Sus scrofa: one gene and its partners. The protein of the gene in region 3 purifies or fractionates together with the protein of the main gene of each other region. This does not show direct contact. Links are inferred from orthologs where the notes say so. Each region holds a gene or a part of one and is shown on either strand. Other genes may lie near its edges.

What was found.
Region 1: the proteins of FAM117B (region 3) and DYRK1B purify together in Homo sapiens (affinity purification with mass spectrometry; 3 studies listed by BioGRID and IntAct, counting the BioPlex papers as one, with this or other methods). This does not show direct contact. The link is inferred for Sus scrofa from reciprocal best matches to the Homo sapiens genes FAM117B and DYRK1B.
Region 2: the proteins of FAM117B (region 3) and DYRK1A purify together in Homo sapiens (affinity purification with mass spectrometry; 8 studies listed by BioGRID and IntAct, counting the BioPlex papers as one, with this or other methods). This does not show direct contact. The link is inferred for Sus scrofa from reciprocal best matches to the Homo sapiens genes FAM117B and DYRK1A.

The regions. Positions count from the first base shown.
Region 1 is NC_010448.4:48,307,719-48,318,949, reverse strand, and holds the start of DYRK1B (dual specificity tyrosine-phosphorylation-regulated kinase 1B), read left to right. Parts: upstream 1-4,426; 5' UTR 4,427-4,954; coding exon 4,955-5,384; intron 5,385-6,637; coding exon 6,638-6,801; intron 6,802-7,846; coding exon 7,847-7,966; intron 7,967-8,062; coding exon 8,063-8,251; intron 8,252-8,625; coding exon 8,626-8,773; intron 8,774-9,785; coding exon 9,786-10,072; intron 10,073-10,809; coding exon 10,810-10,956; intron 10,957-11,036; coding exon 11,037-11,177; intron 11,178-11,231. Other genes in the region: FBL (rRNA 2'-O-methyltransferase fibrillarin), read left to right, coding at 154-324, 1,667-1,799, 2,884-2,996, 3,810-3,955, 4,064-4,088.
Region 2 is NC_010455.5:201,139,943-201,150,517, forward strand, and holds part of DYRK1A (dual specificity tyrosine-phosphorylation-regulated kinase 1A), read left to right. Parts: intron 1-2,263; coding exon 2,264-2,410; intron 2,411-5,145; coding exon 5,146-5,286; intron 5,287-10,575. UniProt on the Homo sapiens protein: Dual-specificity kinase which possesses both serine/threonine and tyrosine kinase activities. Exhibits a substrate preference for proline at position P+1 and arginine at position P-3.
Region 3 is NC_010457.5:106,269,698-106,280,272, forward strand, and holds part of FAM117B (protein FAM117B), read left to right. Parts: intron 1-207; coding exon 208-351; intron 352-1,640; coding exon 1,641-1,866; intron 1,867-4,597; coding exon 4,598-4,718; intron 4,719-10,575.

The DNA of each region.
Region 1 (11,231 bases), on a different chromosome or scaffold from region 3:
CCCCGAAAGGGCAGGCCCTGCGCCTGTGTGGCTCCATTTGTTTTTTGTACGATGACTGGGCCTCCAGTCCCTTTGGGGGCACCTAGAGTTAAGAGCAGTGGGGTCTTGCAGAAGAGCCCGGCGCTGACTTCCACCCCATCTCTCCCTGCCCAGGAGGGAGATGACAAAATCGAGTACCGTGCCTGGAACCCCTTCCGTTCTAAGCTGGCGGCAGCGATCCTGGGCGGTGTAGACCAGATCCACATCAAGCCGGGGGCCAAGGTGCTCTACCTGGGGGCTGCCTCAGGCACCACCGTCTCCCACGTCTCTGACATCGTGGGCCCGGTGAGTAGGAAGAGCGGGGAGGGAGGGGACGGCCACCTCCTCTGCCAGCCTGACTTAGAGTGCCCGTGAGCAAAAGGAGCAGCTGGAGCCGCATGAGGCCTCATTCAGCCTCACTGCTGAGTTCTTGACCTGGAGGGAAGGGACTTGGGTGTCGGGGCGACCACTGTGAGAGGGGCCCAGAGCCGAGAGTATAGATAGCAGGCTGTCTGAGGTGGCTGCCCACCTTAAAAACTGATACCCCCGAGTTCCCATGTGGCTTGGCAGGTTCAAGAGCTCAACTAGTATCCAAGAGAAAGCAGTTCAATCCCTGGCCTCACTCAGTGGGTTAAGGATCCGGTGTGGCCACAAGCTCCCAGTGTAGGTGGCAGACGTGGCTTGGATCCCACACTGCTGTGGCTGTGGCGTAGGCCGGCGGCTGTAGCTCTGATTAGACCCCTAGCCTGGGACCCTCCATATGCTGCAGTGCAGCCCTAAAAAACAAAAAGGAAACAAACAAAAACTGATACCCCTCAAATCTGGTCTGATTTCTCTTGGAGGAACAGGAGGTGTCAGTTTCTGGGCCTGTGTTTCTTTTTTTTTTTTTTCTTAAGGCTGCACCCATGGCATATGGAGGTTCCCAGGCTAGGGTTCGAATTGGAGCTGCAGCTGCCGGCCTTCGCCACAGCCACAGCCACGCCAAACCCAAGCCGTCTCAGTGACCTACACCATAGCTCATGGCAACGCTGGGTCCTTTAACCCCTGAGCAAGGCCAGGGGTTCGAACCCACGTCCTCATGGATACTAGTCAGATTCTTAACCCGATGAGCCACAGCAGGAACTGCCAGGACCTGTGTTTCTGGGCTGTGGACGGCTCCCTGTTGAGAGGGCGCCTATGCATCTCGCTTCAGGACCTCTCACTCAGCTCTACCGCTGTAGGCTGTGGTTAAAAACCCCCGGCTCCACTGCGGGCTTTTGACGGTGAAGTGGCTTTCAGCTAGTTACTTACCCTCTTGCGCCTCAGTTTGCCCCTCTGGAAAATAGAGTCATTGTGAAAATAAGTGAGTTAATTCCTATTATGTGCCTAAAGCAGTGCCTGGCCCATTAAATATTCTTAGCTATTACGACGTCCTGGTTTTAAGCCTACATTGGAGGCCTGGGCCCTCAGATCTGACCAAGTCGGATTGAATAACCCTTAGCCCATGATTTCACATCTTCTAGACCTCAGTGTGTTCATCTGTAAAGTGATAATAAATCATTAAATGATAGGGATTTGAAGAGATGTGTACAATATGTGACCCCCAAATAGGCACTCCAGCCGTGAGAACTTAGTATCGTTATTTTTGTTTGCTTTTGCTTTGTTTTAGGACGGTCTGGTCTATGCAGTTGAGTTCTCCCACCGTTCCGGCCGTGACCTCATTAACCTGGCCAAGAAGAGGACCAACATCATTCCCGTCATCGAAGATGCTCGGCACCCGCACAAATACCGCATGCTCATCGGTGAGGGGCCCAGGGCTTGGCCCTGGTGGGGGTAGGACAGGTCGCTCCAGGTTTCCTGGATGCGGCCTCCAGAGCCCTGATTTGGATGGAATTGGAGTGGATGCACAGGCCTCTCGAGTCTACAGGAATGGAAAGGGTGGAGAGAGCCCGGTGAGGCTGTGGAGGTGGCCGTCCCACTTCATGTGTCTGGTACCCTCGGAGGGCCCTCCCCCCCAGGAACCCTCCCCCGTCCTTCCTGCCTCCCTCCAAAACACGGTACCTTTCACACTGCCCCCGGCTTGTGTGTAACCTCCTCCTTCAGAGGTCCTCACCCTCCTCTGGGGAGATCATACCCCAGAAAGCACAACTGAGCGTGGCCTGGCCCAGAGGAGCCCGCTGTGAATGTCAATGACCTTGGTTTTTAAAAAAAAAAAAAAAAAAAAAAAAAAAATGCAAAAATTCAGAAGCATAGTGTAAAAATGGAGTGCCTTATAAACCACCCCCAGAGGTAACCGATATGAACATTTGATGTCTGCTTTTCCTGGTTTTTGAAAGTCAGTTTTCATTGCACCATCTTTTCCATTTTTTTTTTTTTTTTTTTTTTTTTTTGACCCACACTGCCTTAAAAATACTGCTTGCATCATCCCCCTGGTTTTTCTTTCTGTGAGTTTTTCCCCGGTGCCTTCATGCCATACCCCTTAGCCTGTGGCTTGTTTTTGTGTGACAGTCCTGCAGACTCTCTTGCCTGTACGTGCTCACCTTTACTTGCCTTTTTGATGACGTGTCTGTCTCCCCCCCAGACCCGGGAGCGTCTCGAGGGCAGGGTCCGGGTCTGACTCGTCTCTCTGTCCCCCACGCCCAGCCCGGGGCTGGCCACAGAGTAGGTGGCAACATGGTTTATAAGAGGAATGAGTGAACGGTGTGATTGAGGGTTTTTTTGGCCCATCTTGGGGGCACTGTGGAGGGAGGGGGATCAATGGGGGGAAGTGAGACTGGAAGCAGGGAGGACTCTGCCCGGAACCTGCTGGTGATGGGGCACAGGCCCCGGGGAGGAGCTGGGACGATCCTGTGGATCCAGCTTGTAAGTGTTACTTCTTTCTCCTAGCGATGGTGGATGTGATCTTTGCTGACGTGGCCCAGCCAGACCAGACTCGGATTGTAGCCCTGAATGCTCACACCTTCCTACGCAATGGAGGACACTTTGTGATCTCCATTAAGGTGCGGGGCATAGAGGAGTCTAAGATGGGGTGGCAGTATCTTCTCTCTATACCTGCCATGTAGCCAGTTAAAACTCGGGCGGGGGCGGGGGGGGGCTTCCCTCCGTCCTAATCCAGTCAGTGTGTTCCCTACCCAGCTCCCTATAAACCACCCAATCAAATAGCAAGTAATGAAAAATGTCTGCAAAACTAAAAACCTTAGGATTTAAAGAGGCAGTAGACCGTCGTGGTTCAGTGCGTGATCCCCACGTATGAGTTTGAATCCCAGTGTGTGTCTTTGAGCAGGTGACCTATATATTATGCCTGTTGCTTCACTTGTGAAATAGCAATGTTAGTCCTAACTCTTTTAGGGTTGATGTAAGGACTAAATTTCTCAATATATGTATGGAGTGTTTAGCCAAGAACCTGGTATAAATACCAGATAAATGCTAGGTACATTTTTAAAAACGTTTTATTTTGAAATACAGAGACCTCTCCAGTGTACTTTCAACCAGATTGAGCCTTTCCTAACCACTTGCTGCATTTGTTTTAGTAATCTCAGCTGCATTATTGCGATTGTTAAAGAGGAAATGGGGGCGGGGAGGGGGGGAAACCAGAGTGGAAATTTTAAACACTTGCCTTTAGATAAATAGAGCTCTGCTGAAGCCTTCCTGTTTCAAACCCAAACTACTTAAAAACTTACCTAACAAAGTCTTTCCCTACATTTCCAAAGCCTATTTTCCAACTTAAAAATTCTACTGGTTTGAAAGAGCACAACAAAGGGAAAACAGCCCCAAACCCTTGCTGCAGACTTCAGACCCTTTTTCTTCTTCAGGCCAACTGCATTGACTCCACAGCCTCTGCTGAGGCCGTGTTTGCCTCTGAAGTGAAAAAGATGCAGCAGGAGAACATGAAGCCCCAGGAGCAGCTGACCCTAGAGCCGTACGAAAGAGACCACGCTGTGGTCGTGGGTGTGTACAGGTAAGCAGGGGGCCCAGTAATCCACCAGAGCCGGGAGTCTCAATACTAGTTAGGAGTACCCCAAAGTGCTTGTAAGTTCTGAGTCCCCGCATCTGTTTCCTCTCACAGACCACCCCCCAAGGTGAAGAACTGAAGCCCAGTGCCATCTGGATCGCGAGAGACTGTGTTGCTACTGTTACACGCGTGTTTTTCTATTAAAAGACTTATGCGTCCTTCTTGTTTGCCGCTGATTGCTTGGCGACCGCTCTTAACGGGGCGCATGCGCCCTTGGTCTACTTGCGTGGTGGGGGCGGGCACTCTCCCGGTGGCACCGCGCGTGCTCGTTTCTTAGCGGGCTCTTACGCAGCCGTAACTTGGATTTCGGCGCTTGGGCGGGGTTCATAGCTTGCTGTGCTGGGAGACCAGTAAGCGCCTCCGAGCGCAGGCGCAGAGTGTTGCCCTGGGTCACGTGAGGAGAAACAGCTTGGGGGGGTGGGGGCGGAGTCCAGGGCGGGGGGGCCGGTTTGTTGTGGTCGCCATTTTGCTGGTTGCATTACTGGGTAATCGGGGCCCTGGCTCGCCGCGTCCGCCGGATACTTTCAGCCAGTGGGCAGGTCTGAGCTCGGGCTTCCCGAGCAGTTTGAGTTCCCTTGCTCGCGGCCTCAGGTAACAACGCGGCTATGGACGGAGCGGCACGCGCTCGCGGGGAGGAGGGTAGTACGGGACCCGCCCTGCCTGCGTCGCCGCGAGACTTAGCACGAGGCCGAGGGAGGAGAGGAGGGGGACGGCAGGCAGGTGCAGGCCTTGCCTGGCTATTCATAGTTGGATTCCTGGAAGGGGCCGAGCCCGAGCGGAGAGAGCTGTCTCGGGAGGGAAGCTGGGAGGGGGTAGCGGGGCCCCGCTCCCGCCCTTTGTTTGGGCTCGGCTCCGCCGGCCGCATCGTCGTCGCCTAGCAACAGCTGTCCTGGACTGTGATTGGTTGAGCTCTTGGCAGTAGTGACCAATGGCACGGTTGTTGCCATGGTAGGTGTGGACTGCCAGGTTCGGTCCAGCCCCGCCCGCCGGGTTCCCCCTGGCCGGGGCGGGCCCCCAGGGTGGAGGGCGGGACGCCGGGGTCCCCGGGGGCAGGTGGCTGCGCTGGGCGGGGCCGGCGGGGCGAGGGTTAACCCGCCCCTCCCCCGTCCACCTGCTTTCCCCTTCCCCCGCTTGCCCCGGGCTGACCCTCGTCTCCTCCTCTCCCCGCCCCCAGCGGCGGCGGCTGCTGTTGTCACCCACCCGGCCGCCTGTCCCGCTTGCCCTCCCCGCCGCGGGGCTTGCCGGGCCGGCCGGGCCGGGACAGGCGGCCGTCTTCTCACCACCGCTACCGCCGCCATGCTGGCCGCTCGCCCACACCACTGGGGGCCCCACCGCGCCCCAGCCCCCCGTGGGCCCCGCGCCAGCCCTGACCCGGGTAGGGGGCGGAGGCTGGGAGAGGGTCCTGGTGTGGGAGGGCCCCTCTGGTGGGGAAGAGGTTTTGTGGGGGAGCTCCAAGAGAGAGGGATCGTGGAGTGCAAGGCTTGACATAGGAGAAAAGGAATGACATGGGAGAAGGCCCGTGACGAGAGGATTTTGGTGTGGCAGATATTGTGGAAGGGGAGAACTCTGTAATATTTGGGAAATTTGGCCGCGGGGGCCTTCTAGGAATGGGCACCGTTGTGGATTGACCCTGGTGTAGAGAAGTGACTGGAGAAAGAGCCCTGACAGAAATACTGGTTGGGGAGGTTGAGGGTAGGATCCATGTAGGAGAGAGAAGGACGATCGGTGGGAAGAGACGCCTCCCCCTTGTTTCCATCCGAAGGAGTGGGGCCTTGATTGGGAGGGGGACCTTGGAATAATCTGGGAAGGGGGAGCCAGGCTGTGACATGGGGGAACCAAAATATGGTTTGACAAATTACATGAGGGGCAGTCCCCGATGGGAGAAAAGATAGGGAAGAAGTCTTGACAGATCTGGGGAGGGGCTCCTGGGAAGGGTGTGCCGGGTGAGAACGCCATAGGGGTAGGACTCTTAGGAAGAGGTCCTCAGATAACCTTGGTGTGGGCAGGAGGTCCCTGAGGACCCTGATCCCCAGGGCCTGCAGAGGATTCTGCTGTGGTTTGGAGGGGGCCCAGAAGACTCAAGTGGTTTGGGAGGATTCCGACTCCAGAGTTCTTTGGATTGGGGGACCTACTGGGAAGGGTAGATTTCGAGATGGAAGGACCTTGCTGGGACGAGATCCTGACATTCAGGGAAGGACTCCAGGAGGGCAGGATCATGTGTGAGGGGCCCTGGGGAGGGCGGTGAGCAGAAATGGGAAGGAGAGTGAACCCTACCGCTCTGCTGTCTGTGGTTTCTCTCTTCTCTTCCCCCCCCCCCCCAATTATTGGTGTCTTTCTGTCCTTTCCTGTCATGGCCCATATCCCTGCCTGGCTCCCAATCATTCCCTTTTCCACGTTCCTCTCTGCCGCCTTCTTCATTTACTTTGTAACCACTTGAGGGGACCCGCTCTGCCTCCCACCTCCACTTCTCTCTTCCCCTTTTTTTATTGCCACCTGTTGCTCTGTTGTATCCTTTTCTTCTTCCCTTTGTGCCCTGCCTTCTTCTTCATGTCCCCCTCTCTCCTTCCTGGCACTGTCCCACACATCCCCTTGTTCCATGTTGTTCCCCTGCCTCCCGCCCGCTCTCAGGTCTCAGCGGCGGTGGCAGCCGAGGTGCAGGATGCGAGAAGGCGCCCCCCGGCCGGGCTCCCGCTCCAGGCCTCGCTCCCCTGCGGCCCTCTGAGCCCACCATGGCCGTCCCACCGGGCCATGGTCCCTTCTCTGGCTTCCCGGGGCCCCAGGAGCACACGCAGGTACGCGTTCACCTGGCTCCTCACCTGCCTGGGGTCGGGGGAGGCTGGGATAGGAGTCTTGGAGCCAAAAAGATGGTACGCTGTCTAGGACAATCTCTGGGGTCCATGAAGGGTGCCAAGGGAGTGGAAGATATAGAGGAGTTGCTGGCAGTCGAGGTTTGGAGAGCCTGAGTTCAAATCCTGGCCCGGGGGGTCGTGTTACTTAGGTAGGTTCTCCCTGCTTCAGTTTCCACTTCTGTCAAATGCAGCCTATAATTACACTTGCCTCCCACGGTTATTGTGTGGCTTGAACACGTTAATGAAATGCAGTTGGAAATGCTCTGAACAGTATCTGGCACATAGTAAATACTCAATAAATGTTCACCAAAGGGAAAAAAAGTCCAGAGAGGAAGATCTAGAGGGGGTAAAAGAGGAGGAGGGTTGAGCCTAAAGGGTCTTGGAGTCAGCAGGGCCTGGGGATGCAGGTCGGGAGCTTCAGGGGTAGAGACTGTTAGGTTTTGAACCGTAGAATCTGAAGCGGGTTGGAGCGGGAGGTCCAGGGTGCTGGATCCAGATCCAAGACCCTTAGGATGAAAAACTGGGCAGAGCTGCACAGGGTGGAGGGTGAGGGTTGGGATGGCCCCAGGGAATGAGGGTAAAGCAAGATAGGGGCCCTCAAGGGGGAATGCCCAGAAGGGGTGGTTCCAGGTGAAGGACTGGGCGGGCAGAGCCCCAGGTTTCTCTCAGATCTCCCCCACGGAGGTTTAGGAAAGAGCGAAAGGGATGGGATGAAAGGTCCGGGGTAAACCGTTCACTCCGTCCCTCTCTGAGCAAATTTCTAATGAACATCTGTGTGCCAGGCCCTGTTCCAGACACGGGACATAAAGCAAGAAGGAGATCAAGTCTCTGTCCTTGGGGAGTTTCCATTCTAGCGGGGTGGTCAGACCATGACCACATGGTCCTGCCTGTGGTCACGAGGAACCAGCTGCCCAGATAGGGCTCCCGCTTGAGGTCGGAGGGGAAGGCCTGGCCTCAGTGCCCACCTGGCCCCCCGCCCTCCCCCCAGGTACTGCCTGATGTGCGGCTGCTGCCGCGGAGGTTGCCCCTGGCCTTCCGAGACGCGACCTCGGCCCCGCTGCGCAAGCTCTCCGTGGACCTCATCAAGACCTACAAGCACATCAATGAGGTGGGCGGGGTGGGGGCCCGGGCTGGGTGCGGAGGGGTCCTGGCCTGCCAGCACAGGCCGCTCACCAGTCCGCATCTCCTGGCCGGTCCCCGGCAGGTTTACTATGCGAAGAAGAAGCGGCGGGCCCAGCAGGCGCCACCTCAGGACTCGAGCACCAAGAAGGAGAAAAAGGTCCTGAACCACGGTTACGACGACGACAACCATGACTACATCGTGCGCAGTGGCGAGCGCTGGCTGGAGCGCTACGAAATCGACTCCCTCATTGGCAAAGGCTCCTTTGGCCAGGTGTGGGATGACCCCGACCCCAGCCGTGCTCCAGGGCTTGGGAGGAGCGGGCACCACTGGTGCTGACCCCCACAGCCAGCGGTTCAGTGGCTTCGCGTTTCGTGCTGGGCCACTCACCAGCACGGTCTGGTTTCCCTGTGCCACGGTTTCTGTAAGAGCGCCTCAGTAACAGGCCCTCCACGTAAGGTTGTTGTGTTTTCTCATGTCCAGCGTTGACACGAGTGTCTGACGATTGGCGAGCTTGCAATTTGGAAGTATTAGTATCGTTGATGGTGGTATGGGTGGGTCTCCTTGGCTGGAGGGCGACGAGTGGTACCTGGCTCTGTGCCTCGCGCCCCTTTGCCCTCGTCTTGTGACGCGCCCTGCCCTGGCAGGTGGTGAAGGCCTATGACCATCAGACGCAGGAGCTGGTGGCCATCAAGATCATCAAGAACAAAAAGGCCTTCCTGAACCAGGCCCAGATCGAGCTGCGGCTGCTGGAGCTGATGAACCAGCATGACACAGAGATGAAGTACTACATAGGTGAGGCCCGCCGCAGGGCTGTGTGGGGATGAGCCACCCTCAGTACCCGAGGGGGCTGCTGTCCTCAGGGCAAGGTGTGGTTTGTAATCCCCCACATCAGTGATTTCTCCTGCCACCCTCACAGTTTTTACCCTATTCACATGACAAAGCTGGTCAAAGTTTATTGGGTGCTCTCTAAGGGTCAGGCTCTGTTGTAAGAACTTTACGTAAGTTTTCCACAGCCCCATGGGAAGGAGCATCATTGCCCACAGCTTGGAGATGAAGAAACAGAGGCACTTAGGTGCTGTCACTTGCGTAAGATCGAGGTGTTTGTACTCAGTAGAGCTATGATTTGGCCAGACAGTGGATTCCAGAGCCTCCACTCTAAACGCCTCTGCTGGGTTTTTTCCTCTTTCCTGTACTGCTTCCTCTTAAGAAAAAGAAAGTGGATTTAAGGAGTGTGTTTCTTTTAAAAGGAAAATGCACCTCCTTACAGTAAATGGAAAGCAAGTATCCTTTGTCACAAAATAAACAGAACTGAGACTAAAACAATGTTATAAAATTAAACGGGGAAGTGTAGGGATGGTGTTAAAGACCCATCAGCACCGAATGGAAACTTTCTCTTTGGTTTAAATCAGAAAATGTGAGAGACTTGAAAAGCGAGCTAACTTAACTTCCTGTGTGAATCAGATTATAGACATAAAAACATCCTCAAGAAACAAAACAAAAAACCTCCCAGGGGGTTCCGTGGTGGTTCAGCGGGTGAAACATTCAGCGTTGTCGCTGCAGCCACCGGGTCGCTGCTGTGGCACAGGCACAGGTTCGATCCCTGGCCAGGGAACTTGCTCCTGCCATGGACACAACCAAAAAAAATAAGTAAATGAAATAAAATCCTGGCTAGCAGAACAGTTTGGCCTGTGCTCCAGAAGCAGAGACAAAGATCTCTTTATTATTGGGTACCCCAGGCCGCCACCGGCCCTCTCTCAGCCTTAATTTCTTCTCCTTCGGCCCATTTTCGCCTCCTTGCCAACAGTGCACCTGAAGCGGCACTTCATGTTCCGGAACCACCTGTGCCTGGTGTTCGAGCTGCTTTCCTACAACCTGTACGACCTCCTGCGCAACACGCACTTCCGCGGCGTCTCACTGAACCTGACGCGGAAGCTGGCGCAGCAGCTCTGCACGGCGCTGCTCTTCCTGGCCACGCCTGAGCTCAGCATCATTCACTGCGACCTCAAGCCCGAGAACATCCTGCTCTGCAACCCCAAGCGCAGCGCCATCAAGATAGTGGACTTTGGCAGCTCCTGCCAGCTCGGCCAGCGGGTGCGGCCCGGGGCGGGGCTAGAGGTGTGGGTGTGGCCAGAGAGTGGGCGGGGCCGACGGAGGACCAGGACGGGATTGGATGGTCGCGTGCAGCGGCCCGAGGGTAGTGCTTGGGACAGGGTGTCTGCAAGTACAGAGGGTGGGGTCATTGGGTGAAGAGGGTGATGGAGAGGGCCTTGGGGTGTCCTGCCCGAAGGACAGCGAAGAGTGGAGCCCGAGAGGACGAAGCCCGGGGCCAGTTTTGAGGCTGCCAGAATGGGGGAGGGGGAGGAGGAGTTGGGTGCCTTTGAGCCTGGGGTGGCACTTTGCTCCGTTTGTTTACCTTGTGCTCTTAAAGCTGGGGAGGGAAGAGGACAGGGCTCGTCAGCTTTGCAGCTTCCGGTGAGAAGGCCTTTGAGAAGACGCTGGTAGTGGTTTGAAAGGGTCTGGATTGGAAGGGTGGGAAGAGGCTAGGTCTGCGGATTGCCGGATCCTGGTGACCCATAGGGGCTCAGGGTCAGGCCAGGGGATGGAGATCGGGATCAGACTAGGCCAGCAGAGACTCCTGAAACTGATGAGTGAGGTAGTGGCAGCAATCCTTGGGAGGTTGTGCTGAAAACATCAGGGTTTGAAGACCCCCATCCCCAGTTCTGGAGGCAGGAGGCTTGTGCACAGTCAGTCCTCCTAGGTTTGGGGGTGTCGGGGGTACCCACAGGGAAGGCTGGGACCTCTGACTGTTGCCCTTTCCCCTCCCCCAGATCTACCAGTACATCCAGAGCCGTTTCTACCGTTCGCCTGAGGTGCTCCTGGGCACACCCTATGACCTGGCCATTGACATGTGGTCCCTGGGCTGCATCCTGGTGGAGATGCACACCGGAGAGCCCCTCTTCAGTGGCTCCAATGAGGTGTGCTCCCGAGGAGGGGGTGTGCTGGAGGGGGTGGAGGCCTGGCTGGCTGATGACCCTGACTGCCCGCCTGCTCCCAGGTGGACCAGATGAACCGCATTGTGGAGGTGCTGGGCATCCCACCAGCCCCCATGCTGGACCAGGCACCCAAGGCTCGAAAGTACTTTGAGCGGCTGCCTGGGGGTGGCTGGACCCTGCGAAGGACAAAGGAACTCAGGAAGGTGCGGCCCCTGCCCCACGCCGCTCCTCCCACCCCGGCGGCCCCTCACTCTCTC
Region 2 (10,575 bases), on a different chromosome or scaffold from region 3:
CAAAAAGCTGATGGGTTAGAGTTCCTGCTGTGGTGCAGTGGGTTAAGGGGTCTGGTGTTGCCACAGCTATGGTGTAGGTCATAGCTGCAGCTGGGACTTGATCCCTAGCGCAGGAACTTCCATATGCCATGGATGCAGCACCACCACCCCCAACAAAAAGCTGATGGGTTAAAAGAAAAAAAAAGGGAGGTAATTTTGCATTACACATGGCAATGTAGTTAGAAATTACTCAGTTAGTAGACATAGTTGTTTTGATAAATAAGTTTAAATTTTTTTTCCTTTTATAAATTTTTAGACGTATCCAGACTGATTTTCCTCAGAATGCTGAAAACAGACATGTCCATAGCAATAAATAGATTTAGGTTAGATGATTTAGGAAAGATTTTTCCTGCTATTCTTTTGAGCATTATGAAAGCTACTCTAACAGTATTTTGTATATAAAATAGAATTTACAGATTCTCTTCTTGAAACTAACTAGGGTCACCATTTGATAACACTTCATTCACTTTTTAATTACTATTCCTATTTAACTAAGTATTGAAACTACATTTCTTTAAAAAAAAGTAAAAATATAACTAACATTCAGGTATCACTGTTTCATAATGGTTTTCCATTTCTTAATTTTCCAAATTAATGAGATTTCCTGTTCTGTCCAACTTTTTTCCAGCTTTTAAATACAGTAGGTTTATGGCCAGTTAACAGGATTGTCCTTTTATTACTTTCTGCAAATTATCTTATGAAAGCAGTACTATAGATCATTGAAATAATTTTTTTAAATAGATGGATTAGGAAGCAAGGTTTGCTGTTTCAGATGCCTCTCAAAATCGAGAGATACTCATAGTCACTGTGGGATAAAGTCTATTGTAAATGGAAAATACGTGCCCATCTTGAGAGTAATTGCAAAAGATTTTAGACTTGCATAGTTTTTTCCCTCTTTAAACCAAATCATATCTTCTGTCCTAATGTCAAACACTGCTGTGTCTCTCCAGCCAAACCAAGACAACTATGCCTTTAGCTCAGTGAGTTTTTACCTCTGTGAGTGTGTCAGAATCCCATGGGAATTTGTTTCTAAACTAGGCCAGCACTGGCCCTACTTTAGGTCTGCTGGCTCAGTCTTAGAAGGTGACAGGGCAAGTATGTTTCAGAAAAAGTTCCTCAGGGGATCCTGGTGCATAACTTTGTAGACAAACCAACCACCGCTTTAACCGACTGGATGGGTAGCCGACAAATTTCCTTTGATAAACTCGGAAATAAGATAGTCTCAGTAGCTTTGGGGCTTATAAAAACTTGGAAATGTAATACTTCTTCTTGGTCCCTTTGAATTAGACTTTCTTTGCTCTGAGAAGATCTTGAGGTTGGGTTGACTTGCTCGTGGAAGCCTGAGATGATTCTCAGAGGCTTAGCTGGAGTTGTAGTGGCGCCGCAGAAGCTTTTGTGAGAAAGCAGCTCCATGCTGCTGGCTGTCTGTTTTGAGTGTTAAAGTGAGAGAGTTTAGTTAGGAGGAATTTTATTTCTTTCTCTTCCTTTTAAAATCAAACTGTCTTTGCTTTTGTGATATTTCTAGGTAGAAATTTTAAGTGGCTAAGAAGAGATAAATTAGGCTCTTAAGGAGTCTCAGATCACTTCATTGAAACTAATCGGTTTCAAGGTTTTCTTCTTCGAAGAAGCCTTAGGAGTGGGATGGGGTGGGGACAAGGTAGAGAAGCGATTAGTCAGAAATGACACTCAGCTGAATCTTTAGATGGCAGTGTTTCTAGGATTTATCTGTGAAACTAGTACAGTACAGATGTCTGAATCTTCAGTTACACTGTGCTGAGTTTATGACTCCTAATGCTTTAAATTAATGTCAAGAGTGTATTTCATTCCTTAGGTTAGTTTAAATACAATTTAACTGTTAAATTAATGGTAAGCCAAGTACCAGCCATAGCAGGAAAGAATAATTAATAAGGAAATAAATTGTTCTCAAGAATATTTTCCTCTGATAATATTTTCTTTATAATTGTTTAAGATATATCTTGATTACCAGTTAGGATTGAATTAAATAAAAGGACTTGAATTTTATATATTGTGCATTTCACTCAGATTTACCACTCCCTTGAAATGTGTTTAGTTCTTTAAACAATATTCATAGACTAATGTTGAAATCAGTAAATGGAACTCAACCCAGTTGTTTTATTCTGTTAATATTAGATTTGTGTTAATACAGTGCTGACTACAATTAAAACTTATTTTGGAATTAATACTGTTTTGAAATATATTTTAGATATACCAGTATATCCAGAGTCGCTTTTATCGGTCTCCAGAGGTGCTACTGGGAATGCCTTATGACCTTGCTATCGACATGTGGTCCCTTGGGTGTATTTTAGTTGAAATGCACACTGGAGAACCTCTGTTCAGTGGAGCCAATGAGGTATGTGATGGATCGCTTTAAAAATTGTTTCTCTTTTCATGGTTTCTTTTTGTTTTTAATCTCTGACAGTGTAATATGAGAGTTGTTTAGAGGAAAAGATGTCTATTTTACCAACTTAGTCATTCAGGTGTTAGGTCAGTTTTGAACATATTTTATCCATTTTTAATTTTTTCAGTTATCATGTAATGGTGAGTTTAGAATTATGAGATGGAATGTGAGATCTTTCATTCTGCTAATGGAGAACGATAAATTAGATTGGCACATGTTAAGTACTTTGATATAAATTTTACAGATTTTAAGTAAAATTTTCAAGAAAAAAATAATCTTGAAGAAATGAGGGCCTCCCTGAAAACAATGCAAACATCCGTGTAAAACTTTGACAGTATGATTTGAAATAATGCATGACCAGTAGGGTTGATGGATGTTTGATCTGAATAATTTCGGGTAAGTTAGGACTGTAGAATTTTAGAGCTACAGACTAAGTATAATTCTTCTAGTCTGCAGGTTTTCCGTCTGCGTTCTTGGATGGTTTCGAAGGGCAGAGGCAGTGCCTGGCAAGGGGAGGAGGGCAAGAGGGAGAAAGCCCAAGCTCCCTTACAGTCAGAGGAATTGGGCGTTCATTGGTTTTAAAACTATTTGCTTGTGGGGTTCTGTTGTTTTTTGTTTCTTTCTTTCTTTTTTGGCCACCCCAGGGAACATGGAGTTCCTGGGCCAGGAGCCAGATCCTAGTCACAGTTGTGACCAACACTACAGCGGCAGCAATGCTGGGTCCTTTAACCCACTGTACTGGGCCGAGAATCGAACCTGCATCCTGGCACTGCAGAGACACTGCCGATCCTGTTATGCCACATTGGGAACTTCTGTTTTTTGTTTCTTTAAGAGAAGTTAACCATTGCAGATCAGTCCATTCATTTATACATGAGAAAAGAAAGATGGGATTCCCCCTGTGGCTCAGGGGGTTGAGAACCCAACATAGTGTCCCTGAGGGTGCAGGTTGGATCCCTGGCCTGGCTCAGTGGGTTAAGGGTCCAGCTTTGCCATGAGCTGTAGCATAGGTCACGGGCGTGGCTCAGATCCCATGTGGCTCTGGCGTAGGCTGGCAGCTGCAGCTCTGATTTGACCCCTAGTCCAGGAACTTCCGTATACCACAGGTGAGGCCCTTAAAAGAGAGGGAAAAAAAAGACTAACAAAATGTAATAAATTGTACTGGGTTATACAGCTCTTTAATAGCTAGTGTCAGAAACCTGTCCCTTCCTCTTGCCTTTAATTCAATTCACTGTAGCTAGTGAGCTGCTCTTTTCGAGTAACTACCATAGTGTAAAAAATTTGTTGTTGTTTTTGGTCATTTTAGGGCCGCACCCTCAGCATATAGAACTTCCCAGGTTAGGGCTTGAATCGGAACTGTAGTTGTAAGCCTACACCACAGCCACAGCTATGCAGGATCCAAGCCGCATCTGCAACCTACACCACAGCTCACAGCAGTGCCAGATCCTTAACCCACTGATCGAGGCCAGGGATCCAATCCGCGTCCTCGTGGATACTAGTCGGATTCGTTACCACTGAGCATAGCAGGAGCTCCCTGTTTTTCTTTTAGTCATAAAGAATATTACCCTCTTGTCACCTTTTCATGGGCATCTGAAGCTTCAGTGACTTCCACCCCACTCATGGTGGAAGTCACAGTCCTTTGAGTAGCTCGGAAAGCGCCCCGCCCCGCCTGTTCTCTCTCCCACCTGCCCTGCCGCCTCCCCAGCTCTCTCTGGCCCAGCCACATTGCCTTGGCGCTCTCCCGGGCCTGCCCTCACTGCCTTTAGGTTTTGCTTTGCTGTCACCTTCTCGGTGAAGCCTTTCCTGGCACCCTTTTTTTTTTTTTTTGCTGTTTCTAGGGCTGCTCCCGCAGCATATAGAGGTTCCCAGGCTAGGGGGCGAATTGGAGCTGTAGCCACCGGCCTACGCCAGAGCCACAGCAACGTGGGATCCGAGCTGCATCTGCAACCTACACCACAGCTCAAGGCAACGCAGGGTCCTTAACCCACTGAGCAAGGCCAGGGATCGAACCTGCAACCTTATGGTCCCTAGTCAGATTTGTTAACCACTGAGCCACAATGGGAACTCCTGGCACCCTATTTTAAGTTGCAGTTCCTTCTGACTCCTCATCCCCTTTTAATTTTCTTCATGGTTCTTAGACAGATCTAATAAATTTTACTATGTATTTATTTGTTCCTTGGCGATCTCTTCCTCTATGATAGAAACTTTGGGGCAGGGATTTTTGTCTCTTTTGTTTACTGCTGAGTTATAGTGGGCATGGTTTCTATCATATAATAGACACTTGATCTGTTGAATGAATCTGCACTTAAAAAAATACTTTTATTAGGTCCACACTTTAGTAAACCTTTTGTGTGGGGTTATTTAACTAAAACTCTCCCAAAACTTAAAAGTTTAAAAACTCCCTCCAGTCATTCCTTATTCTCCATTGGATCCATGACCACTTGCCATCCCACAGATGTATGTGTTTACTTAATTGTCTGCCCGCCCCTCTGTGGAATGTTGGGTTTCGGGAAGGCCGGGACTTTATCTCTTTTGTTCATTATTATATGCTTAATGCCCAGAGGAGTGCCTGACACAGGAGATGCTTAAGTTATTTATTATTTATTATTTGTGAATGAATGAATTGATGAGCAGAAGTAGGATGGACTACAGTAGAAATTACAGGTTTTTTTATTTTTATTTTAATACAGGTAGATCAGATGAATAAAATTGTGGAAGTTCTGGGTATTCCACCTGCTCATATTCTTGACCAAGCACCAAAAGCAAGAAAGTTCTTTGAGAAGTTGCCAGATGGCACTTGGAACTTAAAGAAGACCAAAGATGGAAAACGGGTAAAAATAAGGGAATATTTTTTTGAGCAGTCACATTTCTTTCATTGAGCTGTCTTTATAGCATATTTTGTTATTTACTTGAAATCAGTGTTACTGGTATCAGTTATTAACAGTAGTTCCATTGATAACTTAGGTACATATTTTCTTCACAAGTTGATTATAGTTTGACCTGAACTGTGTGTATGGACCAGCGTTTGCTTATAATACTCAGAATTTTCTTTGAAGCTTCATTTTGTCTGCCTTTCGTGGCAGCTGATCAAATCACCATGTCCTGTGTCAACAGTAGAATCAGTGACTTTTGTTTCTCATAGTTTGGGTATATAGTGAAGTCACAGGTATAACAGTTCTGCAGCTGTGAACATCAAAATTCATAATTGCAGTAAATGGCTTTTTTTTTTTTTTTTTTTTTTTAAGATGAGAGTAAAGGATTTTTGACTTAGGCAGTTTGTGACAAGAATATGAACCTACTAGGTGGTTCTTTGATTTCAGATTCCTAGCTTGGATAACAGGAATTTCACATCTCTAAAATCTTTGAAAGTGAGGTTTTTAAAACGATAATCTTTTAGGAATTTTTTTTTTAATCTGAGAACTTCTTTCAGATACATAAGCTTTGTCACTTTAATGGCGTGGATGATGACAGTTTTGCATCTTGACTTACACCTCTTTGTTTTATGTATCTGAGAATAATCATAGTTTGTAATTAGATTTTTCTGTTATAGATGAATATAGTCCATAAATATGTCATTTATATACCATCCACCTTGCGACTGTAGTTTTGCATTTTTAACACTTAAGAGATTTTATTTTGCCACCATTTTTATTTGCCCTTGCATTTTAGTGATATTGCCACCGGGTGTCATTTCCAGTGAACTGAAGGTGCTGCTTGTCTTCTGTAATTGACCTTCGTCTATGGAGTCTTTAACTTTTCATATCAAATAGTTTGTTTTTGAATATATTTTTTAAAATATATATGTAATTGTAGCTTCCATAACTGATTTGTGGCTTGCTGCATTTTGCTTTATTCTCTGAAGTTCCAGGCAGTGCAGTATCTGACAGCTAAATTATGCCTACTTTCCATGGAGAAGGAATGGAAAGTACCAAGCTGACATCCTGAGTCCTTTTGCATTTGTCCACATAGCTTATCAATCACGGCCCCTTTTCTCATTGAACCAAAACACAGCCTGGGAGTCCTTGGCTTCATCAACATTCAAGGTAGCCTCCTACCAGTTGATTTCAATTAGCATTGAGGATGCGAAGCCCCCTTTACGTTTCTCTCTCTCTCTCTCTGTGATACCGGCTACTACTTCTTTCTCCAATTTGAGGTTTTGTTGCTCTCTCTCTCTCTCTTTTTTTTCTTTTTAGAGCCACATGTGCGGCATATGGAAGTTCCCGGGCTGGGGTCGAATCAGAACTACAGCTGCCGGCTTACACCATAGCCACAGCAATGTGGGATCCTTAACCTACCCGAGGCCAGGGATTGAAACTGCATCCTCAATGGTTACTAGTTGGGTTCATTACCACTCAGCCACAACGGAAACTCCTGAAGTTTTGTTACTTTTTTGTCCTTCTATATTTTTAATTTTTCTAAATGAAACATCTCATTCCATTTCCCTAATCTCTATCTTATAAAACCAGTTAAGTCACTACAATACTATAAGCTGTCATTTCTCCAATACTGATAATAATTATCATTTATTTTATAATAAATATTTTATTTTATTTGTAATCATTTTGTTCATTTTATTTTTGTTTGCTTTTTAAGGCTGCACCTGTGCCATATGGAGGTCCAGGCTAGGAGTTGAATTGGAGCTACGATGGCCGCTCTTCACTACAGCCACAGCAATGTGGGATCCGAGCCACGTCTGCAGCCTCTACACCATAGCTCATGGCAACACCGGATACTTAACCCACTGAGCAAGGCCAGGGACCGAACGTGAATGCTCGTGGATAATGGTTGGGTTTGTTACCGCTGAGCCACAATGGCAGCTCCAATATTTGTTATTTTAAATTGTTTTGGGGGGGACATTTCAGAAAAGAGTAGATAAATTTTTTCCCTTAAAATTGAAAGTACCTTAACCTACATTTAATATGTATTAATTGTAGATTTTATGAGAGTTTCCTTAGCTGCAGTCAGCAACTGACTGAAGAAACTTAATTTTTAAAAGTATGAAATAATTAGGAGGTCACTTGTGGCACAATGGATTAAGGATCCTGTGTTGTCACTGTGGTGGCTTGAGTTGCTTCTGTGGCCTGGGTTTGATCCCTGGCCCAGGAACTTTCACATTCAGTGGGCGCACGTGGGGGAAAAAAAGTATAAAATAATGATTTCTCTTTAAACTGAAATTTTCAACAGCAATAAAAAATCAAATCTGTAACCAAATGATTAATTGCATTATGAAGGATGCACTAGTTATTTTAACCATAGCTATAAATAAATGTGCATGTGCTGTCCTTGGGTATAATTGTGCAGTTTATTTCCTTAGTGATTTTACTTTTAATTCATCATTTCATGTTTCAAGGACCCTTTTGGCTTTCTAGTAATGATATCCATACCTATTGTATACATACTTTTCTGGTTACCTCTGTCACCATACAAAGATATTTTATTATTATTGACTATATTCCCGATGCTCTGCATTTCATCCCTGTGATTCCTTTATTCCATATCTGGAAGTTTGTACCTCTTAATCTCCCTCACCTCTTTTGCTCATTTTTTAAAAATTAAAGTACAGTTGACTTACAATGTTGTGCCAGTTTCTACTGTACAGCAAAGTGACTCAGTCATACATATATACAAGTGATATATGGTATATATATATATGTATGTCATATATGTATATATGTACATATACATATATATGTATCCTTTTTTTAGTAGATTATTTTCCATCATGATCTGTCCCAGGAGATTGGATATAGTTCCCTGTGCTATACATACAGTAAGATCTTATTGTCTATCCATTCTAAATGCAATAGTTTGCATCTATTAGCCCCAGACTCTCAGCCCATCCCCCTCCCTCGGCCCTCCCCCTTGGCAACCACAAGTCTGTTCTCTATGTCTGTGAGTCTTTTTCTGTTTTTTAGTAGGTTTATTTGTTTCATATTTTAGATTCCACATTTAAGTGATATATGGTACTTGTCTTTCTGACTTCACTTAGTATGAGAATCTCTAGTTGTATCCATTTTGCTACAAATGGTATTATTTTTGTTCTTTTTTATGGCTGGGTAATATTCCCTTGTACTGTTCCCTTTATTAAATATTTCTCTCTCTTCCCCTGGCTGATTTTTATGTAGATTTTTGGTTTTGTTTTTTGTTTTGTTTGAATTTTTCAGCAGTTTGACTATTAGGTCCTTATGTATGATTATGTTTGTATTTAGTTTCCATGGAGTTTGCTGAGTTTGTTAGATCTGTGAGTTGATCAGTTTTTGAAAATCCTCAGACATTATCTTTTCAAATATTTGTTCTGCTTCACTTGCTCTTCTACTAGTTATCATTAAATGTATGTTATAGTGCTTAATATTATCTCAGAGTATGTTCGGTTTACTCATTTTGTTTTCTTTTTTGTGTGATAGTTTGGATAATTTATTTGCTCTGTCTTCTAGTTCACTGATTGCTTTTCTTCTGCTGAGCCTAGTCTCCTGTTAAAATCATTAAATGGAGTCTTCATTTCTGACACTTCATTGTTTGTCTTTTTTAAAACATAATTTTAATCCCCCCCCCAGTCTATCCACATACCTTTTGAACTAACATTCTTTTTTTAATCATAGTTATTTTTAAATGCCTCTTTCAACTTTTGGGTCATTTATATGAGTCCCCCCCCCGCTTGATTATGAACCCATTTTGTTTCTTGTGTCATTAAATTTTTTTTTTTTTTTTTTTTTGCCTTTTTAGGGCCACACATGCAGCATGTGGAGGTTCCCAGGCTAGGGGATGAATCGGAGCTACAGCTGCCAGCCTCCACCACAGCCACAGCAACATCAGATCTGAGCTGTGTCTGCGTTCAAAACCACAGCTCATGGCAACACCAGATCCTTAACCCACTGAGCGAGGCCAGGGATCAAGCCCGTGTCATGGTTCCTAGTCGGATTCGTTTCTGCTGCACCAAGACGGGAACTCCTGTAATGTTTTTAATGTATGCTGGACTTGTCGTATTTAAGAACAGTTGAGGTGGAAGTAAATCTTCTCTCCCTTTAGAAAGAGGCATGCCCCTTACTCCGTCAGGCCACTAGTGTGATGAGCCTGAGTCAGTTTTGTGGGTAGTTTAGCTGAATCTGGGCTTTGTTTGGTTTGTTTGCTTGATTTAGATTTTATTCTCCACTATCTTCATAGGTTTTAAGCAGTGTTTGTGAAGACTCGAGAGATCTTTTATACGTCATTGCCCAGCCAGCAGCCCACTCCTAACTTGGTGCCTCAGGGTGGTCCGTGTCCACCCCGCTGCTCTGGCCTCAGCTTTGCAGAGCGCTGGGGGATCCTTCTTGGATCGTTGCCTGTCCCATCCTTCGGCCTGGCCACCACATAGAGCTGTTAGAAGTTGGTTTGGAGTTGGGCTGGACTCCTTAATCAGATCTATGGTATTTGCTGCTTCTCCCACCATAAGTCTCTTCTCTCCTAGAAAAGGCTTTTCATTTTTTGCTATTACGTTAATTCCAGTTTCTTTATTCCTCAGCTCTCCAATGGCTTTTTTTTAAAAGCAGTGCTTTTTGTGGTTTGTCTTCCTGGCTTGTTCTTGATTTTAGAGTAAGAGCAGTGGCCTCACGAAGATTTCGACACCGTACCTAGAAGCAAAAAATCCACTGATACTGTTCTGAAAAAATTCAGTATTTATAGGGATTTTAAAGGCTATACTGTCATCTGTTTAAAAATGAGTTTCCAGTGGTTCCCTGGTGGTCTAGTGGGTTAAGGACTTAGTGTTGTCACTGCTGTGGCTCAGGTCCCTGCTGTGGCTTGGGTTCAGTCCTTCATCTGGGAATTTCTGTATACCACAAGCACAGCACCGCTCCCCCCCACAAAAAAAACCCCACCAAAACCAAACGTGAGTTTCCAGAAAAATCTCAGCTCATGTTAAGGCAATTTATTATTAAACATATTTTCTAAAGGGAGGCATAAATAATTTGTGTTTGGTTTCTTTATCTGAATATGAGCAGGTAAGTGATTCGCTATTAGGCGTGATTCTCCACAGCTTTAATGAGCCACTGTTACTGAGCAGGCTCACCTAAGTGCACAGGTGCATTGGGCAGAAAAGAGGTTCACGACCACTGCGATGAGCAAAGGCTGGCACACATCCTCTC
Region 3 (10,575 bases):
AGGAACTCCACCCTGGGGTTTTGGCTTTAAATTATATTTCATGTATACTAGGCAGCAGGTTTGGTTAGTCATTCTTTTTGTGAGGCCAGTAAACTTTATTTTGATTTATTTTAGAGTTATCCATGTCAAATGGAAATACGCTTCCATCTAGAAAATTTAAAGGTAATATTAAGTGTGTCTTCTCCCCCTCTACCGCTTTTTCTTAAGGCTCCTGTTCCAAAGAGTGCACTTATTCCAGTAATTCCCATCACCAAATCAACAGGCTCCCGATTCCGGAATAGTGTGGAAGGATTGAATCAGGAGATTGAAATAATAATTAAAGAGACAGGGGAAAAGGAAGAACAACTTATAGTAAGTGGGCTTGTATTTTAAAATCATCCTTATACATTAACTCTTCTAATTATTAAAAAATTCACAATTTTGTCTTCTATGTTTACATGGGTTTCTTCCTTATAGCTGAGAATGGAAAGTTTTATCTCTTGAGAAACTTTGACTTTTGCAAGTGAATGGAAGGTTTTTAATTCTTTGCATCTCATAGAGACAACTGATGTGACTTAAATTTGGATCCTTGAAGAGAATCCACATTTATTGTTTTCCTGCATTTAAAAATCACTAGGGTTCTCATTGGCTGTAACTCCATGTAACTAAAGTTTAGCTTACGGGTTTGTTGGGGAGGGAGGGATATGACACAGAATACTTTCCAAGTATGAATCTACCTCTTGCTTGTTTTTTATCAGTTCCCGTTTGGTTAACTCTCATCATGAAGTGCAGTTCTGCTTACTTATGATACATAATAGAATGTGTATTCTTTTCGTGGTGACACACATAAGAATGGGTCACACATAAGACAAAATTTGTATTTAAAACCATGTCACAGAGTATTTTTAAGATTCATTCTTCAGTGAAGAGGAATTGAAGAGTTTTAAGGTGGTATTTTTTTGATACTTAAGATCCTCTCCCTTAAGAATAAGGTTGGTTTAGCTTAGAGAAAAGGCAACAGCCCACACCCTCTCCTCGTCCCCTCCTCACTGCATGATGGTGAAACCTTCCCTGATGCGATAACAGTAAATGTACCAAAGACGTACAGGGAGCTGGTTTCCCTGCTCAGGGAGCCAAACAGGCTTCCCTCTGAATGTTCTCCTTGATTTCCCCCAGTAATTAGCGGGGCTGTGATGAACCTTTCCCTCCCTGAGGGAGGTCTCCTTGAAAACACTGTTTCAGGAGGAAGAGGGGGCGGCAGGGAGCAGGACCTGTGTCATCAGGTATCAGTAATTTACGCAATGGATAATCTTTTCTTCTAGATTTTTCTCCTTTGTTATAATGGCCTGTCTTTATAATCTTAAAAATAATGCTTAGCACATGCTGTTATGAATTCAGTGCAGTTCATCCTTCATCAAGCACTGACCACTCATGTGCCAGACCCTGGGAATATACACTGCTGCTCAGTGTCCTGCGAGGGGCGGTTTAAACGGAGATGTCACTAACAGAGCAGCGCAAAGGCTTCTCTCTCCTTAGGCCTGAGTATGATTCTGATTTTTGAGTTTTGGGGAACAGCAGGGAAAGATTAACATTGGGTTTGCATTTCCAGGTGAATCTCAAAATCAGTGATAAAAATACATGTTTTTAAAATTTTCTAACAGCCGCAAGACATTCCGGATGGCCATCGTGCGCCTCCACCCCTCGTGCAGAGAAGCAGCAGCACACGCAGCATCGACACACAGACCCCCGGCGGGGCAGAGCGGGGAAGCAACAACAGCAGCCGCTCTCAGTCTGTGTCCCCCACGTCCTTTCTCACCATCTCCAACGAGGGGAGCGAAGAGAGCCCTTGTTCAGCCGATGACCTTCTCGTTGATCCCAGGGATAAAGGTACAGTGCAGGAGGAATTGGCTACCCCAGTATTGAGTGAATAGCACCGGTTTTATTGTGCATTCAGTTCATTTTCTAGCAGAGCACACACGTAGGGGTTACTAAGATAATTACCTTGAGATGTGTTCAAAACATAGATTTTAAACAATTGGAATACAAAACAGTAGGTTTTACTGTGGTGCCCAGGTGATGGTCTCGTTGGGTGGATTTGTGAACTTTTGTAATTTTTTCTTTTTTTGCACTTACTAGTACAAGTTCTTTATAGTGAGAAACATTCTTTTTGATATAAATGAGATAAACATTTGATCTGAATAGCATTTATTCTCTGTCACCTTGGTCGTCATTGTTTTTACAAACTTACTGCTTTTTAATTGAATGTGAAACCTTCCCTTCAAGGAAGTGCTTTTTAGGTTTTTTGGGGGGTTTTTTTGCCTTTTTTTTTAGGGCCGCACCTGCAGCATGTGGAGGTCCCCAGGCTAGGGGTCAAAACAGAGCTACAGCTGCCTGATTATGCCACAGCCACACAGTATCTGAGCCTCGTCTGCAACCTACACACACAACACAGCTCATGGCAATGCCGGATCCTTAACCCACTGAGAGAGGTCAGGGATCAAACCCATATCCTCATGGATCCTAGTCAGGTTTGTTAACTGCTGAGCCATGAAGGGAACCCCCTTAGGATCTATATTTGTAGTTGTTCTTTTTTTTTAGGTTTTTTTTTTTTGTTTTAGGGCTGCACCCGCAGCATATGACAGTTCCCAGGCTAAGGGTCAAATCAGAGCTGCAGCTGCCAGCCTACACCACAGCCACAGCAATGCCAGATCCATGCTGCATCTGTGACCTACACCACAGCTCATGGCAACACCAGATCGATAACTGACTGAGCAGGACCAGGGATCAGAACCACATCCTCCTGGATATTAGTCCATGAGCCACAATGGAAACTCCTAGGATCTATATTTGTGATATTTCTGACAAAAATTAAGGTGATTTAGATCAATACAAGACGAATGTTTAAGGCAAGCCTGGAGTAAAAATGGGAGGGGGCTACTAATAGTATTAAACCACTTACGTGACTTAGAAAATAATCAGATACATAGCACTTTGAATATTAATTACTAATAATGTTCTTAGTTTTTCAAACCAAATATGACCTTTCTTCTTTCTGTATCAGGGCAATAAATATTTTGTTAGCCTAATTCGAGTTATTGCTATATGAACTTGAGAGTAACAAGATATTTATTATTACATAAATTCTACAGCCCAATTCAGTAGCCGTTTGTTTAGAACCTCCCACTTGCAATATCTGAATGTCCTAAAACGTTCCATGTCCAATGACTGGTCATTACTGCCAGTCACCTACAGCTTTAAGACAATAGCAAGTGCTGTAGGATTTTAAGATTTTCTGAAGAAGTCACTTCAGACAGTGGGCGGTTGTAAAATGTTATTACTTGGACCCTTTATTGTCAGCTTCTGTGTTACTTAAAACAGCTATTCCAGGCCAACATCCCAGGCTAATTAAACTACACCCCTTAGGCAAGACACAGGCAGCAGTTTTTGGTGTTCCCAGGTAATTCATGTGGACCCAAGTTTGACCCCTACTGGATTAAGTCCTTTGATTGGGCCACGTGTTTCTTTTCAGGAGTTGCCATAATTAACTACTTCTTACACTTATTATCAGGATTAAAATGGATAGTGAATGCAGACTGTTTAGTGCAGCTTCTGGTACTTAGCGCTCAATCAGCTATACCCCTCCCACACAAATGAAACCTTGGCTCTTAAAACCTGCCCCTTGATTTCCCATACTTTGTTCTTTTACTTCAGTAATGTGTAGGCACTCCATATGTTTTGTGTCCTGTTGTATTTGACTTTAGGAGACTAGTGACTGCTTAGCTTCTGTGATTTCTTTTATAAGAAAGGGCTGCTGTGCTGCTGCCAGTAAGGAGTTTGTAGGTGAGTTGACACAGTCACACTGTGCATTTAGGGCACTTAGGTAACATCGCAAGAATTTTAAGTTAATATAGTGGAAACTGAGCACATCAGCACTGAATTAGAGTGCAAGAGTAAAGAAGTGTTCCCTTTAATAGGATTAATTTAGAAAGATTTCAAAAGCTTTGAGCCAGACTTTGAAGGAGGTTTTGGAAAGTGAGCAGAGAAGGACCTCTTAGGTATAGGGAAGTTTGCAGGCAAAAGAGGGTCTTTGGCATACAGTGTGCACATGGCTCTGACTACCTGGAACAGAGATTGTAATCGGAGGAGCAGAGAAATCAAACCGAAGGATTCTGAGGGGCAGGCCAAACACAAATAGTATGTAGCCGGTGAAGAACCATTTCAGTTACTCATTCTGGGAAGATTGGAAGTGGTATTTGAGCCCATTTGCTGTGTGCAAAATAGAAATAACCCCTAAAAAGACAAAAAAAAAAAAAATAGAAATAAGGCAGCAACATAAATCAGTGTTCTCTACCAAGGAGTTAGTGATACGGGCCTAGGCTGTGGCAGTTGTAAGTAGAAAAGAAATTTTAAAATCTCTTGTTTATTCATTTATTTGTCGAACAGTAAGTAGCTCCCGTTTACCTGGAATTGTGTTACATTTTGGGGTGATATGGGTGAATAAAAACACCGTTCCTACCCTCAAATAGTTCATGGTGTGGGGGGAGGCCAAGGACGAGTAAATACAGTATGACTGTGCTTTCACGTACATAGTAGTAATACAGCATCTCATTTATTGCAGAGAATGGGAACAACTCTCCTTTGCCCAAATATGCAACCTCACCAAAACCTAACAACAGCTATATGTTCAAAAGGGAACCTCCTGAGGGCTGTGAAAGGGTCAAAGTCTTTGAGGAATGCTCGTAAGTATCCCCCATCAAACCTCCCCCCAGACCTTTGTAATGGGAATTTTAGAGTAGGCTGAAGAAGAGTACAGTGACCACTCATGGATCTACCACTAGATCCTGTAGTTAACATTTTGCTGTTTGCTTTGTCTCTTGTATGTTGGTGTTAGTTTTTGCTGAGCTGTTTGACAGTAAGTTGCAGACCTTGTGATATTTAACTTTAAATAGAGCTTAATGTTTGTTTCCTAAAAGTAACCACAGTAATAAAAGTAACCACTCCTACATAACCACAGTACCATTGTCACACCAAAGAAAATTACAGTTATGGTCAATGTCAACTAATATCCAGTTGCTCACGTGTCTTCACTTGTCCCAGTGTTTCATCTGTGGTTATTTGTGAACCTGTAAATAGTCAGCATCATATATTGAACTTAGCAGTATATTTATTCAAGCTAGACTATGTATCTCACCCAGGATGGGTTTCCTTCTTTCAAGGATCAGATTCCCTTCAGTTTTTAATGTTCTTGTAGTTTCAGTTCTTTAAACAAATTTTAAAAAATTTTTTCTGCCAATGTGGGGAAGAGACTTCTATGACTTTGCAGAAACATGTTACTGTGCATGAAGAACATGTAACAAGCAGAGTTTAAAATAGTGTCTGTACCCTTGGTAGCAGTCTTCTGTGCTCATATATTTCTCTTGGCTGGTGTTCTAGTCAAGTACCCTTAATTTTAGACTCAAAATCTGCTCAGAAAGTATTGCAGCCTTGTGTTTGCAGTAGTCATGGCTCCTTGCTTTGTAAGTGATGGCCAAGGGTGGTGTGTATGAAACTGAGCTAATTTAGGTGATGATGGTACTTAGACCTTACCTTCCCGTCTCACTATTGCTGCAAGTCTAATAGCTGCCCTCTGCTTCTCCTGTGATACTTCACATACAATGTGGAGATGGTCCAGCCTTGTCTGAGTTACATAATTTTATCTTTTTCTTTCATCATGAACATGTTGGAATAAGGACTGCATCCTTCTGTTCCTCTATATGCCCCTCCTGTCAGTGCTTTCTTCACCTAAATTCTGAATAATTTTGCCACACAAAGAGCCTTGTTTTTGAATCCCTTCACCCTTTCTACTAGGAGAACCCAGCTGTCATTCTTCTATCTGCTTTTGTGACAGTAATTGAACACTGTTTTAGCAACCACTTTCCCCTCCGCCCCCCACCTTGGAAGACTAAAAGCTTTACTGGTGCCAGAGAGTTGAAGCAGTGTTTCTCCAGATCTGCTGCATGTACTCCCTGCATCATCACCTCTGGGGTATTAGTTGAAACTGTAGATTCCCAGGCTCCATCCTAGGCCTAATGAGTAAAAAATATGGAAGTAGGTAGGACCTGGATTATGCATCTTTAACAAACCTCATAGGATTTTTATGCTTATTTTGAAAATATGGCTTAGGCTTTTTCTTGAGAGTTCTTAAGAAATAAAGTCATTCTGTTAAGTAAAAATCAAATGGTTTACATGGATCCTTTTGGAGTTGAGCTCTTTGATTGATTCATTGGTAGTTCAGATGTGCCTGCGTGAAGAGACATGGCTGATCGACTTAAAAAGCAATTTGAGTGGTTCCCTTCATGGCTCAGTTGTTAACAAGCCCAACTAGGATCCGTGAGGATGTGGGTTCAATCCCTGGCCTCGCTCAGTGGGTTACGGAGCTGGTGTTGCCATGAGCTGTGGTGTAGGTCACAGATGTGGCTCGGATCTGGCGTGGCTGTGGCTGTGGCGTAGGCCAGCAGCTGCAGCCCCCATTTGACCCCTAGCCTGGAAACATCCATATGCCATGAGTGCCGCCCTAAAAAGACAAAAGACAAAAAAAAAAAAAAAACAGTAACTCTGACCTGTGACCTGAACCAGGGGATGGAGTTGGGTGAGGGGTTAATTTCTTGTTTCTAGAAATGTATGTTTATTTACCTAAAAGAAGATATGTAGTTGGATTTAGGCCCAGAAAGGGTAAGACTAGATTTTGCTTTTTTTTTGGGGGGGGGTGTACAGCACAGACCATAGCCATGCTGTTGGCACTTAGCAAGTCCTTTTTTTGTGGGTTTTTTTTTTGTTTGTTTTTTAGGGCTGCACTTGCGGCATATAGAAGTTCCTAGACTAGGATTCAAAGCCAAGTTGTAGTTGCCAACCTACACCACAGCCACAGCAGTGCCAGATCCAAACCATTTCTGCACAACTCATGGCAACACAAGATCCTTAACCCACTGAGTGAGGCCAAGGATGGGACCCACATCTTTATGGATACTAGTTGGGTTCTTAACCTGCTTAGCCACAAAAGGAATTCCAGCAAGTCCATTTTAACAAAGTGAAAAATACTGTTTCCTGATCCCAGTTAATGAACTCTTTGACCTTAGTTAAGGTACCTTAGATTTCCTAGATATTACAGCCTCTTTGTGATACAAAGATTTTTTTAAAAATATGTAACATAACTTCCCCTTCCCTTTTTTCCTTTCTTTCCCTCCTTTCCATTGTAACCACCATTTCTTAGTTGATAATTTATGTGTAAGTTTAGAGAGACTATTACATAAGCCTTTAAAAAAAAATGCCAAAGCATTCCTTATATCAGTAGGAAAATATGTGTAATAATTATCCATCCTGACCATCTCTATCTCAGAAAGTCACTAGCAAATGGTTATATCTATTCTGAGATATAATCCTTTTGGAATAACTTCTCAAGGAACAATAAAATGTTTAAGTTGGTTCTGAGGAGCTTAGTGTGTGCGACTGTGTTTTTTGTGTGTGTATGGTTCTTAAAGAAAGCTTTGAAGTAATATTAGTACTTGCAGCTTTTAGTAACATAAGTATGATACTGGTCATAGATCCCAGAGATGAGTAATGAATTTCTTAGAGAATCTGTTCCTAGAAGTTAAGTGGAATAAACAGTGATTCCTTTTGGAGGGTTGGTGTAGTGGCTGAAAGAGGAGGAGGGGGATGTGATGCTTTTTCACTGTTAGTGTTCTGTTTCTTGAACAGGGGTGCCAGTTAGACAGGTTATTATGATCACATGATAAAAAGTATGGTTCTCATCTCTTTCCATGAAATGGAAAAAAGAAAATCCGTGTGCCAAGTCTGCACTAGATTTTTGTGTGAGATCTGTCATAAGTCTGTTTTCATGAAAGTAGAAAGGAAATTACACTGATTTTAGATTCTGTCATTAAAAAATGTCGAAGTCAAAAATTTGTATTTCAGAAGTGGTGAGTTTTTCATCCTCAAAAATCTGTTAGCAATCATATCTTAAGTGATTTTTAACAAGATAACCTTAAATTAATTAACCTAGGCCTCATTTGGAGGAGCATATAAAAATTGATTAGCCCCTTTTCACCTAATATAAGAATGAAAGTTATCTTTAATAATTCTTCAAAAAAAAATTCAAGCATTATTTAATTATAGAAACGTAACCTCAACTTTCAGTCTTCTTTAAGGAATTGAAAACCATCCTCTCAGTAAAAGCAGAGGAGTGTGTGCTCTTCTTATCCTGATTTATCCATATACACATGTGCCTTAAAATTACTCAATGTGGGAGTTCCTGTTATGGCCCAGCAGTAATGAACCTGAGTAGTATACCCATAAGGATGTGAGTTCCATCCCTGGCCTTGCTCAGTGGGTTAAGGATCTGTTGAGATTTTTTTTTTTTTTTTTTTTTTTTTGTCTTTTGTCTTTTTTGTTGTTGTTGTTGTTGCTATTTCTTGGGCCGCTCCTGCGGCATATGGAGGTTCCCAAGCTAGGGGTTGAATCGGAGCTGTAGCCACCGGCCTACGCCAGAGCCACAGCAACGCGGGATCCGAGCCACGTCTGCAACCTACACCACAGTTCACGGCAACGCCGGATCGTTAACCCACTGAGCAAGGGCAGGGACCGAACCCGCAACCTCATGGTTCCTAGTCGGATTCGTTAACCACTGCGCCACGACGGGAACTAGGATCTGTTGAGCTGTAGTGTAGGTCACAGATGTAGCTTGAATCTGGTGTTGCTCTGGCGGTGGCTGTGGCCAGCAACTGCAGCTCTCATTGGACCCCTAGCCTGGGAACCTCCATATGTTGAGAGTATGGCCCAAAAAAGACAAAAAAAAAAAAAAAAAAAATTACTCAACATATTAAGTTTCCATTGTATCCAAGAAAGAATAGAACACAGCAAAACATGTCAGAGCTGCTTATGGGAGTTCTTAACCTTGCATGTGTATGTGTGTGTGTGTGCGCGCGCGCGCGTGTGTGCGCGCGCGCTGTGGACACCTCTGGCAGTCTGGTAAAGCTTGTGGATGCTTTGAAGTAATCCATAAGTTCTCTGAATAATGTTTGTCAAAGTACATTAAAGATTATAAAGCAGACCTATTATACTGAAATACAGTTCTGCCCCCAGTACCTCCCTCCACACAAAAACTACATATTTACTCTGTCCCTTGTAGATTGTTTCATTTTTGGGTCTCTAGAATGTAGTGCAGACTTAGCACACTCGGATTTTCTTTTTCCATTTCACTAGGAAAGATGAGAACCATACTTTTATCACAATGATCATACTATGTTTTCCCACCTAAATCTTTTTTTTTTTTTTTTAATGTTTTCTAGGGCCACACCATGGCATATGGAGGTTCCCAGGCTAGGGGTCTAATTGGAGCTGTAGCTGCCAGCCTACACCACAGCCACAGCAACTCGGGATCTGAGCCATGTCTGCAACCTACACCACAGCTCACGGCAGTGCTGGATCCTTAACCCACTGAGCGAGGCTAGGGATCGAACCCACAACCTCATGGTTCCTAGTCAAGTTAACCTCTGAGCCACGACGGGAACTCTGACCCACCTGAATCTTGATTTATTTTGGTTCTTCCGCTTTAATTTCTTTTTAATTTTGTGTCACTTCCATCCCATGTTCCTTTAACAGTTTTTTTATATTTTTATTTTCAGAGAATACCATTACCTCTAGTGTCCTATTCCTACTATTTGGGTTAACTTGCGGGAGCAGCTAGGGACAGGCAAAGATTTGGCTTCCATAAGTACTTTCAGAACAAAAGACTGCTATTAGTTTTATTTTGATTTTGTGTTTATGTTGTTATTCAGAAAACCATCATGGTTAACTCACAGGATTGTTTCAATTATTATTATCATTATTTTTATTTTATTTTTTTGTCTTTTTAGGGCCGCACTGAGGCATAGGAAGGTTCCCAGGCTAGGGGTCAAGTCAGAGCTATAGCTGCCGGCCTACACCACAGCTGCAGCAATGCCAGATCCAAAACCCACTGATCAAGGCCAGCGGTCGAACCTGCGTCTTCATGGATGCTAGTCAGATTCGCTTCCACTGAGCCACGGTGATAACTCCTCAAATATTTTTTGGGGGAGCATATGGAAGTTCCCAGGCCAGGGATTGAATCTGTGCCACAGCTGCAACCTGCGCAATGGCTGCAGCAACACTGGATCCTTAACCTACTGCCACACAAGAGAACTTCCCAAAGAGATTTTTAAGTGCACTCGGAGAACTCATGCCCACCAAAGTTTATTCATGCAGGGGGGAGCTCAGCAAAAGATAGACATTGTGCATCATTAGTTTTCTTGCCTTTTCTTCTCAAAATAGTACCAACTTTGGAAAAATCTTAGTGGAATATATTTTTGTCTTTAAATAGCTAGGATTTCTTTGGCTTTAGGAAATTCTCGATTCAAATTGGCTATCTTAGACCTTCACTGAGATGCAGTGGTCTTCACCCTGAGCTACCTGCCTGGTGCCTGGGCTTGCCAGGGCACTGAGAGCAGCAACAAAGACCGGTGTCCTTCCAGCATTCTAAGATACGTGATTCAAATCATGTGTCCTTGGTAGACAGCATTTGAAACTTTGGACATAGCTTTAATT